3 linked regions of the Saccharomyces cerevisiae S288C genome follow. Changing the gene in region 3 together with the main gene of any one other region gives a genetic interaction. Each region holds a gene or a part of one and is shown on either strand. Other genes may lie near its edges. The genes, in order: ERV15, CBP4 and RGM1.

Region 1 (2,755 bases), on a different chromosome or scaffold from region 3:
GAACCAGCAGATAATATCGGTACGAAATGAAATTCAAGAGTTGAAAGCCGGTAAAGACTGGCATGACTTACAAAATGAACAAGCCAAACTGAACGACAAAGTGAAGCTAAATAAGAGGCTAAATGATTTGACTTCTACTTTGCTAGGCAAATACGAGGGAGATCGCAAAATTATGAGCCAAGATAGCGAGGACGATTCAATACGGGATGACTCAAATATTCTGGATATTGCACATTTCGTAGACTTGATGGATCCATATAACGGACTTCTGAAAAAGATAAATAAAATTAATGAAAATCTTTCTAACGAATTACAACCAAGTCTATAGGGAATTGGTTCAAAAGATGTATATATATATATATATATATATATATGTATGTATATATGTATATATGTATATATGTATTACTTCCATACTAAGGAAGTTGTGTTATAAGGTCATTTTTATGTGGTAGACATACTTCATAGATATGCACAAATCTCTCTTTTTTTTTCCTGTTGTCGCTATTAGCTTATCAAATTTGCATCATTTTCAAGTAACGCTGTGACCATTCTGTAGAAGTAGAAAAAGAATATGAGAAGGTAAAATCCCAATTTTAAAAAGCATTCAATTTTGCATCTACCCAATTTTCTGAAAATATCCGTGGCGTCCAGTAGATGTGTTTTCTTGTAGACTTTACTTGCGTTATATGCTAGAACAGGGACATTCAAGAGAAATACGAACCAGTACCCGTTAAAAAGAAACAATGCAGAAATGAAAGCTTGTAGAATTGCCTCTGGTACACTCAACCTATTCACCCTCTTACACAGTTCGATTGAGTTGATATAGTCTGCTTCAAGATCACCATATAATATAGTAAAGTATATCTGGCAAATGGAATTCAAACAATTCAGTATAAGACCCGTCACGAATAGCGATAATCCGGTTCCTGACATCTTTACTCTTGGCTTCGAACTTCTTGGTGCCTGCAGTTAGTTTTATCTTTAGTAAAAAATGATAATGAAAGTGCTTATATGAATAAAGGTATTAATGTCTTCGTATTTAGCAATGTAATTGAAAAATCATTCGTGGCCCACGACAATATTTCCAAATTATCACAGCTTTCGATAGAAGTGAACGATTTTGAATTAGAGAGAGTAGTAGTGAGCTAGACGTACTGTGTTTTGAGAATTGAAGTTTGTATAGCAAAACTATACTATCATAATGCAACATTCAAGAAAAATAATGGTATAGAAACAAAAAATAACTCCGATACGGGGAGTCGAACCCCGGTCTCCACGGTGAAAGCGTGATGTGATAGCCGTTACACTATATCGGATAATAACTTATGTTTGATTTAACCTTAAAGATTTTCTATGTCAAGTTTAAACTGGAGGGCTTTCTATTGCCGAACAATCCTAGCTAAAGGCTTTTTTCCCTATTTACAGAAGAAAATGTAATGACTGAAGATTTTGAAAGGTCTCGTTTGATGGCTAGCAGGCTACACCTAGAATTACCCAATTCCAAAGGTTGGTCATCATAGGAAAACAACCAGCATGAACCTTACCCTAGTTCTCTTGCTACTATTTCACATCATCAGGTGATGTCAACTCAGCTTATTGTCAGTGACGACGGATTAGCATTGATACCTGATGTCATTTTAACACGTGTGTTGGATGGGATCCTATACACACCCAAAGAAGATGATTTTTACAACGACACCACCACCATGTATTATGTTTTTGCCACCTGGGGTGATCAAAGTTGGTCATCCTTCGGTTATGATAATACAGCAAGCCTGCAAGAGCACGAAAGATATGTTTTCTAACTTCTTGCCGAGCAGGGAATATTGGGGATTTGGACCGTTGGAATAAATGGGTCCTCAATATTGACAGGAGTCGGTTTTGGAATGAGAATTAACTATCATTTAGTGATGGTAATCCTATTACTAGAATATTATCAGATACAATGTTAGAGGACAATAGGAATACATAAAATAGAAGAAATAATGATGGCATTACATCGAAATATCGATTACACTATATCTTGGAGGAGAACTTTTTATTTTATTTTGTATATCTGATGCTATAGCCTCTAACAATAAGTTAATCCCAACAACTATCTCAATATTCATATAATCGTCTGAGAGATTGATAACAGCTAGTAATGTAGCTAACAGTCAAAAGATAATAAATGATTCATCTTCCAACAGCTTGCGGGGAAAGTTTTTCACACTAATGTGCGGTGTTGTTTTCCTTAACAGGCTCTGAGCAAAATATGGAGAGAGAGGTCTCATTTACTTTGCCATTCTTCATTTAAGCTTGAGGCTTGTTCTACTGAAATGTTAAGTTCTCAGAAGCCAACTTTGGATCAAAGGGCTTTGTTAGTAGCAAAACGCTATTTCTATTGATTTTGATTATTTTTCGAAACATTAAGAGCACAATGTATATTAATTTTCCCTGATGAATAGTTAAGATGATTAGATGGGCTAGGCGCTTAAAAATGAGAAACAGGTGAAATTTGAGATAAATGTTGATTTCGTTGTTGCTAAAGGCTATAATATCAGGTATACAAAATATACTGGAAATATACCTCGAGAATCTTGGAATCCACGAAAGGGAATAGATATTACTCCATAATAATATTATGTTGGAACGAGAGTAATTAATAGTGACATGAGTTGCTATGGTAACAATTCAATGCTTACATCGTATATTAATGTACAACTCGTATACGTTTAAGTGTGATTGCGCCTATTGCAGAAGGAATGTTAAA
Region 2 (2,835 bases), on a different chromosome or scaffold from region 3:
AACGTTCATAAAACACATATGAAACAACCTTACAGCAAAACGAACAGAATGAGCAACATGAAAATAAAACTCTGCCTTCCTTAGCTAACCTACTCTAACGTATAAGTATCTGAACAATTGGTTTAGATCCAAGATTCCGCGCTTCCACCATTTAGTATGATCCATATTTTATATAATATATAGGATAAGTAAGATCCCGTGAATCAAGCTGATAAACCGTTTTGACAACTGGTTACTTCCCTAAGACTGTTTATATTAGGATTGTCAAGAACCTTGACATTACCCCATTGCATGATGCAATAATCTCATATAAATAACAAGCGCAAGTGGTTTAGTGGTAAAATCCAACGTTGCCATCGTTGGGCCCCCGGTTCGATTCCGGGCTTGCGCAATGTTTTTTCCATCCCCAAGTATGGGAACTAAAATAGCTAAAAATAAGTATGAAGTTATATTTTTAAACCTATTTACAGTGTACAAATAAATAATATATCATAAATGACACAGACGTATGTTTTAGGATGCAAAAGTTCAAGCTGCCCTTCCTAATTGAGTGACCCGACCCATCTACCAGAAGCGCCACCAGCTTTTAACCTGCTTATCCTGGACTATTTCCTTTGTTTTCTCCTCCGTTTCAGATCTTAGCTGAGACAGTTCATTTCTGATCCTAGCCAACTCTTCTTTTTGCACCTCCTCCGCCCTCACCTTAGCAAAGTGATCTCTGCTTTGAACGTTATCACCGTTCCTTTCCCAAGGTGATTGAAGGGGGCCCGTCTTCCAAATTGGATCGTCACTTTGAGAAGTTTCCTTAACAATTTTCATCAAAGCCTGCTGCTCCGACTGACGTAGTTTTTTCTCCCTCTCATATTGTAAACGTAATTCTGGGGAAAGCTGGCTGATTAACTGTTGATCTGTTGGCGTTGTGTACTTGAAAAGCAGAAACCCGCTTCCAATAATAGCGCCACCAATTGCATAGACTTTCAACCAACGTACCCACAATGGTCTTTCCATACCCAAATAATGCTTATACTGTCTTTGTTTTGCTATTACTGCCTCTCTAGGAGTTATCGCGCACTGCATGTATATAAAATTTTATCTTGATAAAATACCCCGGGGGATGAGCAAAAAAAGGGATATGGGGAATGAAAAGTGAGATAAACTAGCAATAATCTATTCTAATAAGTAGAACATTCACAAAGACTACTATGGTGTAATTCTGAAAGGATTTACGAGAGCACAAATACTATTATGTATAATTCTGACTGCAGAATCCGGCAAGCTTGATTTAATATCACTTAAGGAAGTAATATCGTTAATTGATAACCGAATATGAATCTCAATGCATATTTTGAAGCATATCAAGCCATTTTTCCTTTTCTGTTGGAGGCATTTTTAAGGAAAGAACAAAAAGTATAAAACACTTCGGTTAATAATAAATGATATGTGAATTTTTTTGAAAATATGTAAAATAAATAAGTAATAAATAAAAATAAGATGTGTTTATCGTAATGTACTATACAAGCCTTCCAAGCCGACTTCTGTAATAAAAAAAAAAGGTGCAGCTTAATGTTTGACGGTTCCTATCCTCTCTCCCTTATAAGCTGTAGTTAACCAATCAACTCACCAAACAAAAATGGGGTGAATACTCTAATAGCTGTGATCAAAATCATAATACCTTCCAATAAAGCCATTGGTAATCCCAAGAAACCACGTTCTTCCATGTTCAAGTAAATGGTGTAAAAAGCGACAGCGAAGAAAACCCTGGTCAATTGCAAAGGCTTTGGCAAGACACCAGACAGAAATTCAACGGGTTTGTTGACACAATCGCCACCTCTTTGGAAATATTTGAAACAACCTTTTTGTAATGCCTTCAAGTTATCGCTGTCAGCAGCGAACAAAGAATACAAAGCCACTGACAAAACGTTAATAACGGAATCGTAACTCTTTCTTTCGAAATGGTAGTCTAGTAATTCATCCAAAACCTTTTCACGGTCGCTGAAGTCTAGGTCACCTATTTTCTTAATCAACAAGACAACATCATGCAAACCGACAGTCATACCACCACCAGTCAATGGATGTCTCATATTTAGAGCGTCACCGATAACACACATACCAGTGACGTCGTTTTGTCTAGCTGGCAAGTAGGAGTTTGGCATAGCTCTAAATTTACCTTGGCTGACGGCTTCATCAAATGAAGGACGTAGACTCTTTGGAATGAAAGGTTGGACATCCTTAATCATCCAACTCTTGATATCAGCTGGGACCTTTGGAGAGTTGTAAGCACAAAGGATTCTTGTTTCTTCTGGACTGATTTGGTAAACCAAGATTGGCATATGATCACTACCAAGAATAACGTGACCGTGCATAGGAGCAGGATTCTTAGCATTGAACAAAGACATACCGACAAACGAAGAACCGACAGTTGGAACATGGTCTGGGTGCAATTCCTTTCTGAAACGTGAAAAGATACCGTCACAGATAAATGTCAAGTGGGCTTTGAATTCCACCTTGCCACGGCCATCAATGTCAACCTTGGCACCAACAACCTCATTCTTTTCATCCTTCAATATCTCAATACAGTTACCTTGCACTCTAGTAACATTTGGCTCTTGAGCAGTAATGTTTCTCAAGTTGTTCAAGAATCTACCATGAACAAAAGCAACACCCCTTTCTCTTTCATCATCTTCGTAATCCTTGATGTGAATAGTGCTGTCTTCCAAGACCTTGTCATTACCATCTTTGACCAAGTCCTTCAATTTTTCAACTTTAGGGATATCGGCCTTGTAAGGGTATGGAATATCAACTTGTTCGCCGTTGAAAAAGACGGTATAACCGGTA
Region 3 (3,093 bases):
TGGTTGTTCCATCCGTTGTGGAAACAAGAAAGTAATAGAGCACATGCGCCTCCCTCCCGCCAGCCCCCCAATTCCTATTATGTGTAATCAAACAATTTCTATTAAAACCGAAAACCTAAAAATTGTAACGTCTTTTCTCTTTCCTACTATACCCTCCTCATACCTGCCTTTTTAACAATTAGTATTATAATTTTTTTTTTTCACAAAAAGACAATACCGACTATCTAATAAATAATTTTAATACGTATGTAATTTCGTTAAGAACAAGAATTTTTAAGTAAAAAATCTTACTTTTAAGAAAAACTGTCGCCCTTAATATTAGTCCCAATTTTGTAACGAAAAATAAAATACAAATCGGGGTGGAAAAAGGGAAATTTTACAACATTATTATTCCAAAAACTAGTTTTCAAAAAGTAAATCGTGGGGGTATGAACAACAATTGTTGTAGTCGCAACTACGGTAATTGGTCCTAAAAAATTATTCTCCGGGAAAAAAAGAAGAAACAAAGAGATCCCGAAACATAAGTCCCGTGATTCTTTTTGCCCCCCGCTTTCTTTCGCCAAGAGAAGAGCAATTTATTGAAAGGCTTTTCTTGATGTTTTTGGGTTGTGAAAGCGTTAATAGCGCCAAGTTAGAATAGTAAATATCACAACTACAATATCTACACTTCTCACTTGCGCATTAACCTGCACACGTACTAGACTTTATCTGTCTTGATTGTTACTTCTAGACCAATCAACATTGAAGCGCTCGGCAAATGCTTGACAAGAAAAAAAACTAATTTTCCCTTCGCCTTTTATAGTGCCCATCGGATAGGATATTCCATCTTTGTCTTGCGCCCACTTCGTTGTCGTTACCCGCACGTTGTGTTTTTTGAGGGCTTGAGCAAATTCTTACAGTTAAGGTACAATAGTTGTCTCGAAGAGCAGTACATCAACGGCCTGACGACCTACAGTAGCACTTTCCTTTAAGTGTATATAAACTTTCCTTTTCGGTAAGGGATGCAGGAGAAAGGGCGAGTTTTGTTTATATGCGATCCTTTATGGTAACCTTTGCGGTTAATTCAGCATTATGGTTGCTGATGCACACTTAACGAGGGGAAGAAATATTATGTTACATGCATGAAACGCACTCGGTTTTCTCATGGTCTTTCTTTTTTCGGGATTTCTTTTAATAATATCTTTAAAGTATTACTGGTAGTCGGTCTTTCCCCACACAAAAAAAATTAAAAAAAAAAAAAAAAAAAAGAAACTTTCCGGCGCTCCTTCAGGAGTCTCGTAACTGATGCTTTTTCTCTTCCTAATATTAAGATAAAAAAAAAATTAAACACCGGTAGCAACTTCTCGAGCCATAGGGTCCTGCACACCCTGCCATGTTACCGCACGGACCATTAAGTTACGTGGATGCCGGACTCTCAAGCCATGAAAAGTTTATCTTTATTTAAGTAGAGTTTTTCCTTCTTCTCAAATTTCTGAGAATTTTTATCTTCGATCATTCCCTCTTTTTTTCTTTTTTTCTTTTTTTCTTTTTTTCTTTTTTTTTTCCCTTCTCTTACTTTCTTATTTTTTTTTTTCATTCCTCAGCGGATCCCTTCAATCGTTTATAACATTATTTTCCTTCTCTTTTCTTTCATTGTATCTTCTTGATTTCAACTATTGTTTGTGTGTATATGAACAGACGCCTCCTTCTCTTTCTTTCGTGTATTCTTGATTCAATTGCGACTTCATAGCACTATTCCTCCCCACTCACGTCTATAGTCCAGGACAATTAGCATGACACTGGTTAAACATGAGAGGAAAACAACCGAAAAGGAACAAAGACAACGCTTCTGTCAAGAGAAATTATAGATGCGTGGGATATCCTGATTGTAACATGAGTTTCAATAGGACCGAACATTTGGCTAGACATATCAGGAAACACACAGGGGAGAAACCATTCCAATGCAATATCTGCCTTAAATTCTTCAGTAGAATCGATAACTTAAGACAACATCAATCTTCTGTTCATTCGGACGTTGATTTGATGTCCTTACGTAGACTGCAGCAGTCCGCAAATAGCACTGCGAACGACCCTAACGCAACAAGAATGTTCCCGCAATTACGCCCATATGGAATTGTTGTCCAGCCCGCGCCTGTTCCATACAATCTGCCCATATCAACTCCTGCTAGCCCACAAGACACTATATCTCTTTACGCACCACCATACTTCCCTCATCCTATGCCATCTGCTCCCATACCATTGCCGCATCAGCCTCCTCCACTACCAATATACAGCTATATGCAACCACTCTTCCTGAACCACACTCCCATACAAAACCACAACATTGTAGAGCTCCCTCCAGATAGCAGTGACACTCCAGCATCGCCGTCTAAGGTGCAAAGTTTTGACCAGGCCAAGGACGCTTCACCAAACGCAAAAAAATAAGCTCTACCGCACCCACTCCTCCATTTCACAAGCCGCATCATTGCTGCTATTGTACCCTCTTGGCCATTCGCGTGCGCGTTGATTGCCGTTATTATGCAGATATTTTGATATCGCTTGCCGTTTGGCTCATCTCCGCGCCCTTAAAATATATCCGCTTCTGTTGGGAAATGCCGAGCATAAAAATGCCGAAAATATAAAAAGAACAAGAACAATACCCTTCGAGGGAAACGCTATTTTCCTGTCCACACAACCTTAATTAATTCGCACGTCTGTGCCACCAAGTAGCAACTGGTTCGTATTGCTTTATCTTTCTTGCTTGTTATTACATTGCTGTAAGATAACAAGCAGCGTTTTACTCTACGGATTGTTTATAAGGATTTTGTTCCTCGACCCCTTATATTTACTCACCTTCCCCCTACTCTAATTCTCCTGATTTCAGAACAAAAAAAAAATGACTCCACTTTTGCAGGCGGAAGCAAAAATGAACACAAGCCTCTACCTTACGGAAAGCATCCAACAACATGAATTCAACCTCACCAGCCCTCAGTCATTCTATTCTTCTCCCTCGGTACCCAATAGTAAAAATAACTCGGGCATTTTCAGCTATAACACTGCCAACAACAGTAGGGTGAGTTCTAGTGATGAATTCACTACCCAACAAGACGGCAT

What was found.
Region 1: mutations in RGM1 (region 3) and ERV15 together harm fitness more than expected from each alone (negative genetic interaction), as found in Saccharomyces cerevisiae (2 studies listed by BioGRID).
Region 2: mutations in RGM1 (region 3) and CBP4 together harm fitness more than expected from each alone (negative genetic interaction), as found in Saccharomyces cerevisiae (2 studies listed by BioGRID).

Annotation. Positions count from the first base shown.
Region 1 is NC_001134.8:643,731-646,485, reverse strand, and holds ERV15 (Erv15p), read right to left. Parts: upstream 937-2,755; coding exon 508-936; downstream 1-507. Other genes in the region: AME1 (Ame1p), read left to right, coding at 1-328.
Region 2 is NC_001139.9:845,329-848,163, forward strand, and holds CBP4 (Cbp4p), read right to left. Parts: upstream 1,078-2,835; coding exon 565-1,077; downstream 1-564. Other genes in the region: YGR174W-A (uncharacterized protein), read left to right, coding at 1,327-1,413; ERG1 (squalene monooxygenase), read right to left, coding at 1,605-2,835.
Region 3 is NC_001145.3:623,863-626,955, reverse strand, and holds RGM1 (Rgm1p), read left to right. Parts: upstream 1-1,788; coding exon 1,789-2,424; downstream 2,425-3,093. Other genes in the region: SSO2 (syntaxin), read left to right, coding at 1-35; MIN3 (Min3p), read right to left, coding at 1,059-1,145; YMR181C (uncharacterized protein), read left to right, coding at 2,876-3,093.